Linked DNA regions of Saccharomyces cerevisiae S288C. Changing the gene in region 2 together with the main gene of any one other region gives a genetic interaction. Each region holds a gene or a part of one and is shown on either strand. Other genes may lie near its edges.

Evidence for each region. A genetic interaction does not mean that the proteins touch.
Region 1: mutations in SEC28 (region 2) and CSF1 together harm fitness more than expected from each alone (negative genetic interaction), as found in Saccharomyces cerevisiae (3 studies listed by BioGRID).
Region 3: mutations in SEC28 (region 2) and UBC7 together harm fitness less than expected from each alone (positive genetic interaction), as found in Saccharomyces cerevisiae (4 studies listed by BioGRID).

Annotation. Positions count from the first base shown.
Region 1 is NC_001144.5:312,732-317,566, forward strand, and holds the start of CSF1 (Csf1p), read right to left. Parts: upstream 3,001-4,835; coding exon 1-3,000. Other genes in the region: GPI-anchor transamidase subunit GAA1, read left to right, coding at 3,376-4,835. UniProt on the Saccharomyces cerevisiae protein: Tube-forming lipid transport protein which provides phosphatidylethanolamine for glycosylphosphatidylinositol (GPI) anchor synthesis in the endoplasmic reticulum. Required for the glucose and other nutrients uptake at low temperature.
Region 2 is NC_001141.2:214,208-219,100, reverse strand, and holds SEC28 (coatomer subunit epsilon), read right to left. Parts: upstream 2,444-4,893; coding exon 1,553-2,443; downstream 1-1,552. Other genes in the region: proteasome regulatory particle base subunit RPN2, read left to right, coding at 1-1,238; RCI37 (Rci37p), read left to right, coding at 3,148-4,110; threonine--tRNA ligase THS1, read right to left, coding at 4,398-4,893. UniProt on the Saccharomyces cerevisiae protein: The coatomer is a cytosolic protein complex that binds to dilysine motifs and reversibly associates with Golgi non-clathrin-coated vesicles, which further mediate biosynthetic protein transport from the ER, via the Golgi up to the trans Golgi network.
Region 3 is NC_001145.3:317,106-319,677, reverse strand, and holds UBC7 (E2 ubiquitin-conjugating protein UBC7), read right to left. Parts: upstream 999-2,572; coding exon 501-998; downstream 1-500. Other genes in the region: MSS1 (Mss1p), read left to right, coding at 1-241; MAC1 (Mac1p), read left to right, coding at 1,260-2,513.

The DNA of each region.
Region 1 (4,835 bases), on a different chromosome or scaffold from region 2:
GGTTAGCGAGGTCATATCATTAATGGTCTCAGTGTCATATAATAATATATTTTCCAAGTCATTGTAGCCAAAACCTATCTTATAAAAGGAATTAAAGAATCCCTTTATAAATTCAATATCTGAATCAATGCATAAATCTCCGAGATTGATATCCCATTGACAAAAGTAGGTAGGTTCTGTGGGTGGTAATCCATACATTCTATGTCCATGAATGGTGAGGTCCGAAAGCAATCCGTGCTCTTGCTCATCAGCTCCGTTATTACGACGTATAAAATCAAATACTTCATTTATTTGTTTTGAAACGTGCCGCTTTATTGAAGTCCCGTTGAGAACCGCCATTATGTCCATATAATAATTACAACTTCTGAAATCCACTACAAGTTCGGCAAAATGTAGTGCAATGCATGGATCAAAACTGTAAATCGTTTCTGGTAATATCAGAGCACCATCCCAAACCGAAAATGTGAACCAAATATCAGTTTCGTTGGTAGTCCTTTTCAAATCTGACCTTTTCATAGGACCTTTATCCTCAGATTCGTTCTTTAGACTGCTATTTTGGTACCCTGAATCTACAGTAGATGCCAAATCTGCCACCGAGCTTTTCGTAGTGACATCTCCGACTTCCCTAGCGCCAAGGACACCTGTGTACTCTTCTGACGTCACAAAATTAAAAAATTCACCGAAGTAATTCATCTTTACGTTTGTTAAATACCTCATGACAAACCCATAGCAGTGAAGTACTGTACTCTTGCTGTTACACTCTATGACTAGCGTATCGACATTATCAATATCTAACTCGGAATAGAGAAGGTAAGAACCTTTAATTGTAAAGTCGTATGCTCTCCCCACTTCTTTATGTTTCATGAATTCGTTCAATGTATTCCAAGGGGGGGTATTTAACATCATTCTGAACATTGGAGTTGAGATCTCGTAGGACATATCTGTGTATGTCCCCAAAATACTCTCACGGGGTACCGTGACATCAATTGAAAGCTTATCACCATGAAGGGATAAATAACAGTTTTCGTTAAAATCTAACGGATTGTTAACAATATTGTGATCATTGACGTTTAAGTAAATGGAATATCCTTCCATTTCCCAATTGACTTTGTATACGAATGGTCTAAAAAGTTCGTAAGGCGTAGGATCACCAGCGGAAAAGTCTGAAAGCGTATCTGCAACTAAAGTTATATGCTCACGTAGCAGAAACGCCTCTAATTGTTCTGACTTCATGTTAATTATCCATATAGCTTTGCTATTCCAACCCAATGGATATCCAATATCCCCATCAATATCGAATACCTTGCTTTTTAACAAAATATCGTGATTAACACTTGACCTAATTTCGGTTTCCAGGAAATGAACATGGAAATTATTCTGAAAACCTTGCACTGTAGGACAAACACTTATATTGAAATTTGCATAGGTGTCCTTACAAAATCGGAGATCCATCCATCCAAATGGCCTATATTCTTCATTAGTTTCTTTGTAGTGTTTCAAAAATTCGGGGTCTTTGCTACTTTCCCTCGTCGGTATACGCCAAGTAGTATCTTCCATTATTGATATATTCATCCTGAAAAGTGTATATATTCTTCTAGAACCTGGCGGGAGTTTTTTTATAGGTTTGGCTGTCCTTGAAACTACCGGTGATAGAACTCTTTGTAGATGACTGACTTGTCTTTGAGCCCAAGGTCCGTAACAGATGGATCCTCCGTGAATTTGAACATCTAAAGCAAAATCTGGAGGTGCTCCGTTATTGCCCACATCTGGTCCATCAATATCAGGTATTGTCGGATGTGCACCATGTGGCACAACGCCCGGAACATCCACGTCATATGCAATTGTGACCTTTGGGCATTTTAAAATTGATGTAAATTTAGCATATTCATGGTTCGTCAAATCGAACTCAACATCATCTAAATCACTTGCTTTAGCGTCGCCCGCAGAAGCCTTATAAAGAGATAAACCTTTCCATTTATGATAGAAATTGTCATCTGATGTGCCTGCGCTTTTTTTAGTCTTTTTCGGTACAACAGGCTTGGTTACTATCTGAAAGACTCGTACAAACGTTTTCCATAACTTTGACACTTTCCCTCTATCTATTTTAAACTTCAATCCAATAGCATCATCGTAACCAATATTTTGTTTGATAGAAATTTCGAAGTTTTTGAATTCCATCTGTGTTTTATTTCTGTATAAATCTAATCGCTCTTTTGGAGGTAAAACATCTATTATGCCTTTTCCACTTTCATAACTTAGAATCATAACAGATGGCGTGAATTTGTTTCCTAACAGTAGGGAACCGCGGCTAAATTTAAGCTCAATTGGTAAAAACATCAGTAGCTTTGGATGTTTGCCGATATCTGTTTCTTGGTAGTCCCTGTCATTAACAATTGATGCATCAGAGTTCGTTGTGTATGCAGATTCGCTTAGATCTTCATCTAATTTATCAGCACTACTTCCATCGCTAAAAGGTTCAGGAAAAGAATGCTCATTAAGGTATTTTTCAAATTTATCGCGTTCATCTTTTGATAGTAAGTTTATAACATTATCGTACGCCACTGTTCTGTTGTAAATAAAAATTTCTAGACCTTCACATTCTACGGAAATTTTACAGGGAAGCTTTGCTTTTTTGCCAGAAGAAGACTTGTTATTCTCTATCAATTCTGCTTTTCTGCAATTTAAAAGCCAGTATTTCCATGTTAAACTACCCTCTAATACCGAAATTGTATAATCTTTGTGTATTACGGAAAGGTTTTTAAAATGTATTCGACCACCTAGTAAGGAGACACGAAGTGTCTCAACATTTATCTTGATTTTCGCTCGTTTCCATAGTAGCCATTCTAATATAAAACTTACAAGGTATGCATAGATTCTTCCCATGTAGAATATCATTGTCAAACATACTACTACCGTGAGAATCCAATCTACTAAAAAGACCCAGCTAAAGTCCTTTTGGTGTGTCAATGGAACACCACGTAATTGTGAAATAGCTTCCATGCTTGCTAACTTATTACCGTCAATAGAAGACTTGAGTCAGGTGGCTTTAATGAGTACTATTCTTTTTTTTTTTCCAAAGAGCACTATGTTGATAATACCGCAGTAATTTTTTTTGAGTATCCTGTAGCCTAGAAAGGTTGAAGCTTATAAAACCGTGCCAACAGCTTTATAGTGGGGAGTTTGGCTTCCCTCTATTTGTATATTGATCGCCATCCCTACGAAGTTATTGGGAACGCATCGTGAACCTCTCACTTTAATGCCAGCGGTAGAAAAAAAAGTCATAAACAATACACGCCGGCTACACTTAGAAAGAAATGACATTTGCTGTCTTATAAAAGGACTTGACAGACCAAAGACGCGTATAATACACCAAGAATGGCCTTATTGGAGAAGTTGCATCGAAGGATTGTTGATATGGGGCTTGTCCCGCGTATAATCGCCTTATTACCAGTTATTTCCATGCTATGCGCTCTATTTGGGTTTATTTCTATAGCTATTCTGCCTATGGATGGACAGTACAGAAGAACATACATTTCTGAGAATGCATTGATGCCTTCACAAGCGTATAGTTACTTTAGAGAATCTGAATGGAACATTTTGAGGGGCTATCGATCTCAAATTAAAGAAATGGTAAACATGACTTCTATGGAAAGAAACAATTTGATGGGTTCTTGGTTACAAGAATTTGGTACTAAGACTGCTATTTACGAAAATGAACAATATGGAGAAACATTGTACGGTGTAATGCACGCTCCTAGGGGTGATGGAACAGAAGCGATGGTGCTTGCCGTTCCATGGTTTAATTCAGATGATGAATTCAATATTGGCGGCGCAGCTTTGGGTGTATCTTTAGCAAGATTTTTCTCACGTTGGCCAGTATGGTCCAAGAATATAATTGTTGTCTTCAGCGAAAATCCTCGTGCAGCATTAAGATCATGGGTTGAGGCATACCATACTTCCTTAGATTTGACTGGTGGTTCCATTGAAGCTGCTGTTGTGTTGGATTATTCGAGTACGGAAGATTTCTTCGAGTATGTAGAAATCTCATACGACGGTCTGAATGGTGAGCTGCCCAATTTGGATCTTGTCAACATCGCTATATCCATTACGGAACATGAAGGTATGAAAGTTTCTTTGCACGGTCTACCCAGTGATCAGTTAACTAATAATAATTTCTGGTCAAGATTAAAAATATTATGCCTGGGAATAAGGGATTGGGCGTTGTCCGGTGTTAAAAAGCCCCATGGTAACGAGGCATTTAGCGGCTGGAGGATTCAATCTGTAACATTGAAAGCACATGGAAACAGTGGTCATGATATTACTACATTTGGACGTATACCCGAAGCAATGTTTCGCTCTATTAATAACCTTTTGGAAAAATTTCACCAATCGTTCTTCTTTTATTTGTTATTAGCACCACGTCAGTTCGTATCCATTAGTAGTTATTTGCCAAGCGCTGTGGCTTTATCTATAGCATTCGCCATAAGTTCATTAAATGCATTTATAAACAATGCTTATGCAAATATATCCTTATTTTCCGAGTATAATTTGGTAGCGTTGTTGGTTTGGTTCGTGTCATTGGTGATATCATTTGTTGTTTCACAAGCGTTTCTTCTAATACCTTCATCGGGATTATTGATGACAATTAGCATGGCATCTTGTTTTTTACCTTTGATACTTTCCAGAAAAATTCACATCTCAGAACCACTATCATACAGGTTGAAAAATGTTGCTTTTTTATATTTCAGTTTGGTTTCAACATCTTTGCTAATGATAAACTTTGCAATGGCTTTACTGATCGGCACATTGGCATTTCCTATGACATTTGTGAAGAC
Region 2 (4,893 bases):
ATTTAATTACTAAGATGTTAGCAAGTGATGAGTCCTTGTTACGCTATGGAGGTGCATTCACAATCGCGTTAGCGTATGCGGGTACGGGAAATAATTCAGCTGTCAAGAGATTACTGCATGTGGCAGTCTCGGATTCTAACGATGATGTCAGAAGGGCAGCAGTCATCGCATTAGGGTTTGTTCTCTTGCGTGATTATACCACTGTACCAAGGATTGTCCAACTTCTATCTAAATCGCATAACGCTCATGTCAGATGTGGTACCGCATTTGCTCTTGGGATTGCTTGTGCCGGCAAGGGTTTACAATCAGCTATTGACGTTTTAGATCCGCTAACAAAGGACCCAGTAGATTTTGTTCGTCAGGCTGCCATGATAGCTTTATCCATGATTTTGATTCAACAAACAGAAAAACTAAACCCTCAAGTTGCTGATATTAACAAAAATTTTTTGAGCGTGATTACAAACAAACACCAAGAAGGTTTAGCCAAATTCGGTGCATGTGTGGCCCAAGGTATAATGAATGCCGGTGGGCGTAATGTTACAATTCAGCTGGAAAATGCGGATACAGGCACATTGGATACCAAGTCCGTAGTTGGTTTGGTCATGTTCTCACAATTCTGGTACTGGTTCCCACTGGCTCACTTTTTATCCCTTTCTTTTACACCAACAACTGTCATTGGTATTCGTGGTAGCGATCAAGCTATACCCAAATTTCAAATGAATTGTTACGCTAAAGAAGATGCATTCAGTTATCCGAGGATGTATGAGGAAGCAAGTGGTAAGGAGGTAGAGAAGGTAGCAACAGCTGTTCTTTCCACGACAGCAAGAGCAAAAGCAAGGGCAAAGAAGACAAAGAAGGAAAAGGGTCCAAATGAGGAAGAAAAGAAAAAAGAGCATGAGGAAAAAGAAAAGGAAAGAGAGACGAATAAAAAAGGCATAAAAGAAACAAAAGAAAACGACGAAGAATTTTACAAAAATAAGTACTCTTCTAAACCTTATAAAGTCGACAATATGACCCGTATACTACCACAACAATCGAGATATATTTCCTTTATTAAGGACGACAGATTTGTTCCTGTACGTAAATTCAAAGGAAATAACGGTGTGGTGGTTTTAAGAGATAGGGAACCCAAGGAACCTGTAGCACTAATTGAAACTGTTAGGCAAATGAAAGATGTTAACGCTCCACTTCCAACCCCATTTAAGGTCGATGATAATGTCGACTTCCCTAGTGCTTAGATCAAGGGTGCATGGTCGTACAGAAAATGAAGAATTAGTTCAAAATGCCAGAAAATAAATAATAGTGTACATACTTTTAAAAAAAAATCATTGAATTATTCTGCCAGGATTAGCTACTTTACGCATAATTCTAACGTGACAAATGTTGTTTCCGCTTTGTTAATTATACTTTATATGATTTTGTTCAAGCCATGTCAACCTCATTTATGGTACCATCTTATTCGGCTTTATCAAAATAGTATATAGGCATATACATGAAATATTTTTTTCTTTTTCTAAAAAACCTACATGTTTAATGTGAGATATTACGTAAATCAGTTGGACGTATCATATTTCCTCACTAATTCATCGAATTTTGCGTCAATTTCTTGGTGATGCTTGATGAATGCATGTTCGTGATCCAATTTAACCAATTGATTTGTTAAATCTTCAGTATCAAGACCTTGCATAAGAGCAAGCGTAATTTGGTTTGCTAAGAAAGTAGGTTTGTACAATACGGCGTTTTCTTTTTGTTCGACGCTATAGTAGTCAGATAGTAATAGCTCGACAATACCCTGAGCTTCAGCTATGTTTCTTTGCTGTAAATGCAAATTGAGCAATCCCAATTGAGTTTTCCAAGTAGGAAAGGTTTGAGATAGCTCTTCATAGTAGTAAAAGTTGGATGTTGCCGTTTCTTTGTTTGTGGCAAATTTAATGTACGATTCAGCCAGGTTTAAAATCATTTCGTTGTCACCGGAAACAGTATCCTCAATAGCATTAGTGTAGTTATCAAAGATGGTGGACGCGGTCGAAACGTTGTTGTTTAACAAAGCGACTTCGATGGCAAGCAGCAATAATTCTGTAGTCCCTTCTGCTTCGTCATTGTCAATCCCTTCTACACATGTCTCCAAACTTTTATCTAAGTCACCCAAGATAGCTTGAGCCGTGGCTAACAGATATAATTCATATGGTGAATTCTGTTTATCCTTTAACAAATTTTCTAATTCTTCAATGTTTTTTGTATCTAAGAACTGGACGTACAAGTCTAGTACCTTGCCAAGCTTAGAGGTAGGATCTTGTGATTGATATTGGCCTAGAGCTAAAAGGGTTTTCGCCTTGTAGAATAATAAGGTGTTATCTGTGACCTTGCTAAACTTCTCTATTTCCTGCAAACATTGCACGAAGTTCCCCGTGTAGTAATTCTGCTTGATATTAAAGTAATCCATGATTTTTTGTCTGTTTCTATGTTCTCCACCGAGTTCTTCACAATCCGTTCTTATACTGTAGCTTGACGTGTTTTTCTGTAGAAACTGTAGTTTTTCGCTTGACAAAAAACTGAAAAAGAACCAACAAAAAATTAAGATCACCTTAAAAATTAAAAATAGAATATCTTTATCCCATTGAAGACGCTGCATACGCACCTATACAGCAAGACAAAAGATTTTATACAACATTACGGTTCCAATTGAATGTAATGTTACTATATAGTGTGGACACTAAAGAGTGAGATCAGCGGGCGTCCTGATCGTTGCGTTGGAGCCATCTCCTGAATTCCATTTTAGCAACTATTGTTCCGGTATAACCTCTTTTGCAGCCTAGAATGTTGTGAGTACTAAGACAGATACCATTTCACCAGCTTGTGGCTCCCAATTCTTTGACATCAGCAGCACGCTGCTACAGTCGATCTTTGACGAGACGAATTTTAATAGCTAGCGTAACAATCCGTAACAGGAAATTTCGTTCATAGTTACTTGTTTATACATTATTTCCTTCTTTTTCTGTGTTTTTATTTCCGCGGGTGTAAGTCAAGCAAGGGTGAAAGCCTTATGAGCTAATGCTACTTTGACGCAGAACAGAACTTTTTATGTGTCAATGCTTAATATGATTTTCGTTTTAAGGAGCAGCCTAATTTCAAGCGTAGAACAAGGTGATGTTGGGAAAAGAAGAAGAACAGCAATATGGCCAGAATGGTAAGGGAATGGAAAATGAACTACCCTTTATGAAGAGGCCTTGGTTTAAAAAGGCTTATGAAAATGCTATTGAATTTCATGAAAAAGACGAATTGCTGGATGCAAGAGACAGGCTGGAGTTATCGAAGGCCTATAGATCCATTGCTAAAGCTGAGATGTGGGGTGGTTGGCTTGGGTTTTCAGCTGTATTTTTAACTCCATTTGCCTATCGTTACTACAAGACCAAGGCTATTAAAGGTGTTAAGGTGCCGAGGAATTTTGTCTTGGGTGTAATGGCTTTATTTTTTGCTACAAATTTTGCTGGTAGGTCCATGTATACACGACAGTTGAACGAACGTGACCCCACAGGTGTTTTGAAGGATAACTATTCCAACAAATATGGTGACAACGACTTTGGAGCCTTTCAACATGATCAAACAAAAGAAATTCCGAGAAATCAAAGGCAGTACAATATGATGCGCTTATTAGATTCAGGCTCCCCCTCAAGGTGGTCGATGTACTTTTACATAACGTACCAAAATCCGGAGAGAAGATTGCCAGACCCGAAAGTCAAACTGCAGCAAATGAAAAAAGGCGGAGTTTTTAACGGCTCGCCCTTTATGAACCAAAGGGATCCTATAGGATTGTATCGTAATAAGGGTAGAAAATCTCCTGACCCAATTGAAGGAGAGCAAAACGACAGTCCTGTTCTGTCTTCCTGGGAAAAAATCAGGAACGGCGACAACAGTTCGTCTTCATCATGGGAAAATATAAGGAACACCAGTAGAGATCAGTCGCAGGAATCAGATGCTTCAGTGGATCATGAATCCGATATATTTATCTCAGGATTTTCTGACGATGGTAATGCTACCGATAATTCCTCTTCTGATGACAAATATCAGCGTTTACTGCAGAGCGGGAGATATGGTGGGAACCGCTCCTAGACGACGGAGTAATAATAGCGTATGGTCACTAATTTGTATATAGGTATATGTTTGGGCCAAATTCGGCGGGTTCCTGAATTTGTTTTTATATATTCGTAACTTAAACACTGCCGGTGAACACCATCTGCATACCAAATTGCTTTCTTCCATATTGAATTCGCGCACATCTTATCGAAGGAAAAAAAAAGAAGAAATAGTTAATAGAGGTAAGATTCCTTCATCATACTCATTTTATTCTTTACAAAACATAAATTAAATAAGTCAAAATTTAACTACATAAAATCTCATTAAGCTAAGACGTTGTCACCTCTCTTTTCATCTTTCAAGTTACGCAACTGTTTCAAAACTTCTTCAACAGAAACAGTAGCATTTTTACCCTGTTGTTCCATAACGTCTCTGTTTCTAATGTTAACAGATTTTTCATTCATTTCTTGTTCACCAACAATAAAAATGAAGTTATATTTTAGCATTTGCCCGTTTCTGACCTTCTTTTGCAGAGTGTTACCGGTCAAATCGACATCGGCATAGAAGCCAGCATCGTGCAATTTGTTACGGACGTCTTCAGCATACCCTTGGTACTTGACACCAACTGGCACAACCAAAACTTGACGTGGTGATAACCAAAATGGCCATTTACCAGCAAAATGCTCGGTCAAAATGGCAGTCATTCTTTCAACAGACCCTAAAATGGCACGATGGATCATGACCGGTCTTTCGTAACTCTCGCTATCTTGATCTTTAGATTTAAATTCCAATTCGAACCTGTTTGGCAATTGGAAATCT
Region 3 (2,572 bases), on a different chromosome or scaffold from region 2:
TCAATCAAGTGCCGATGCAAGTCCTGTCATTGTTTCCAAAAGAGTGTCAGAGATTCTCAAAAACGACGTACTGTACGGCTTGGAAGAGTTTTTCAAATCCAAAGATTTCCATAATGATATAGTATTGGCCACAGAAAATTTGAGGTATGCATCCGATGGAATAGCTAAGATAACAGGACAAGCTATTGGTATTGAGGAAATCTTAGATTCAGTGTTCAGCAAATTTTGTATAGGAAAATAACCTAGTTACAATCATCGTGTATATAAATAAAAGAAAATTGATTAACGCTTCGGTACAGAGAGGTGAGAGTAGAGGGGCCCCTGATTATACACCAACGAAATGGAAATGGTTTGAATTCCTGAAAAGCCAGGAAGACATTGAGATTTTAACATATTTATTATGTGACATTTGCTTTCTTTTAGATGGTAGATATGCTTATTTATGTATATAGAGAACAGTTAAAAGGAAGACCAAATGATCATTAACCTGCTACCTGCTTTCAGAATCCTAATGATTTCAAAATGGATAACTTTACCTGTCTCTCAAATTCAGGTCTATTATCTCTCCACAAGATGCAAGCATCAATGTTGGCACCACTTTCGATATTGGGCTCACTCAACATGCTCATAACACTTAATAGAATTTTTTCTACACTTTGCACTGGCGACCATCTTTCTTCCGCTAATTCGTACATGTTAGGATCATCACCAGGGGAGTGTAGAATGGATATGCACACTTCCCCATTTGGATAAATATTTGGATGTAGTATGCTGGGTGTGAAAGTAAGTTTAGGTGGAGATAACGGATAGTCTTTAGGAAACTCTAGCTTAGCATTAAAAACACCATCAGCGTATGGCGTATCTGGAGGCCCTTGAATTAGGCAGTCCCAAATGAATATGTTATTCTCCGATTTGGGACCAGCCACTATACCAGGTGGAGAATCTTTAATTAACTGTTGAAGCTCCTTGAGGAGACGTTTCTGAGCGGTTTTCGACATGCTATGCCCTTCCAAATTACACTATTACTAGGGAAGTTCCTTTTAGGATAATCTCCTTCGTACGCTAAACGCCAGAGTTTACTTTGGCGCTTTTCGAGCTCTTGGTTTAGAGGCTGTAATCTCGTTTTCGGGTAATGGCGAAAAGGAGTTATAAGAAGGATCTCGAGACAATAAGCTGCTGCATCTTCGTGAGGTAGATGCGATGAGGCGCCTTGTTTTAAACTTGAAACAGTCTGGTAAGTTCTTCAAGCTCTATCAGAGATGATAATATTTAATGGGAACAAATATGCGTGTGCATCGTGCATCAGAGGGCATCGCTCTTCAACATGCAGGCATTCTCACCGAATGCTAATTAAGGTGAGAACTAGAGGAAGACCTTCACCCATGGCTATCAGAGACGCTATTTTAGTAGACTCTACATCGCAAAGTACAGAATACGAAAATGGTGCACAAATTGAAGGTGACTGCTGCAGCGCAATGAATCAACAGCCAATACTGTTTGTACGTGCCTCTGCTGTTAGAAAGGCAAGAATGATAAACGGAAAATTGCATATATTAATGGAGGAAGGTTTCACTGCTCATGAGCCTAAAGATATTAGCACATTTACCGATGATGGTAACAAATATATCACCGAAACGGAGTTTCTTAGGAAACACTCTCCCAAAGCTCCGGCAACAGGAACAATATCTCCGGACTCTACCAAGTCATCTTCTTCAAGTGAGAAGAAAGAGCGAAGCCGGCTTCAACAGGAGCCTATACGACATTTTTCAAACTGCTGTAAGAAAGATAAATCACAGAACCCAGCTTCTAATGGCAAGACGAACAAGGCACCGTCTGATGACATATTTACGCCATACGGCTCCTTGGAATCTACGTCCGCTTTTAACGATATTTTACAAGAAAACTACAATAGTTCTGTTCCTGGTGCGCATGACAGTTCAGAAACACTCACCCCACAAAGTACAACAACGATTGCTGCTCCTCATTCAAGCGACGTTGCTTCGAAAGTTGAAGTCCTGACTCATAAGGGCATTTTTTTAAGCACGCAGTGCTCTTGTGAAGATGAAAGCTGCCCATGTGTTAATTGTCTAATCCATAGAAGCGAAGAGGAACTGAATTCTTATATTCAACAAAGTGGTGTTCCTTTAACCAATATTGGTGAAGCTCAAATTACTGATAAGATGATGGATTATTTGGATGATTGTAAATGCACTGACAAGGAATGCATATGTCCTCCGGATAACTGCACTTGTGATGGATGTTTTTCTCACTCTACAAATATAATTCCATTTGAAAAATTCTTTTTCTATGGAATTCTGAATGCAAGATTAACAAGGAAAACTCAAATAAAATTCAAAGGTAAATTGGTGCCGTCAAAATATTGGTGGGATTTTTTGAAGTTGCAAGTGCCATTGATGACAGATGCTCAGTTAGAATTACTTGACATTCATGCGTGGTTTCAAAAATTAGTCTCTAATTATGCACCACATCTAAGCGATGCCACCACTTCATAAAATCACGTAAATACAGATAGAAAACACATTGAGGCAACAGGAATGAAAATGCACCCTAC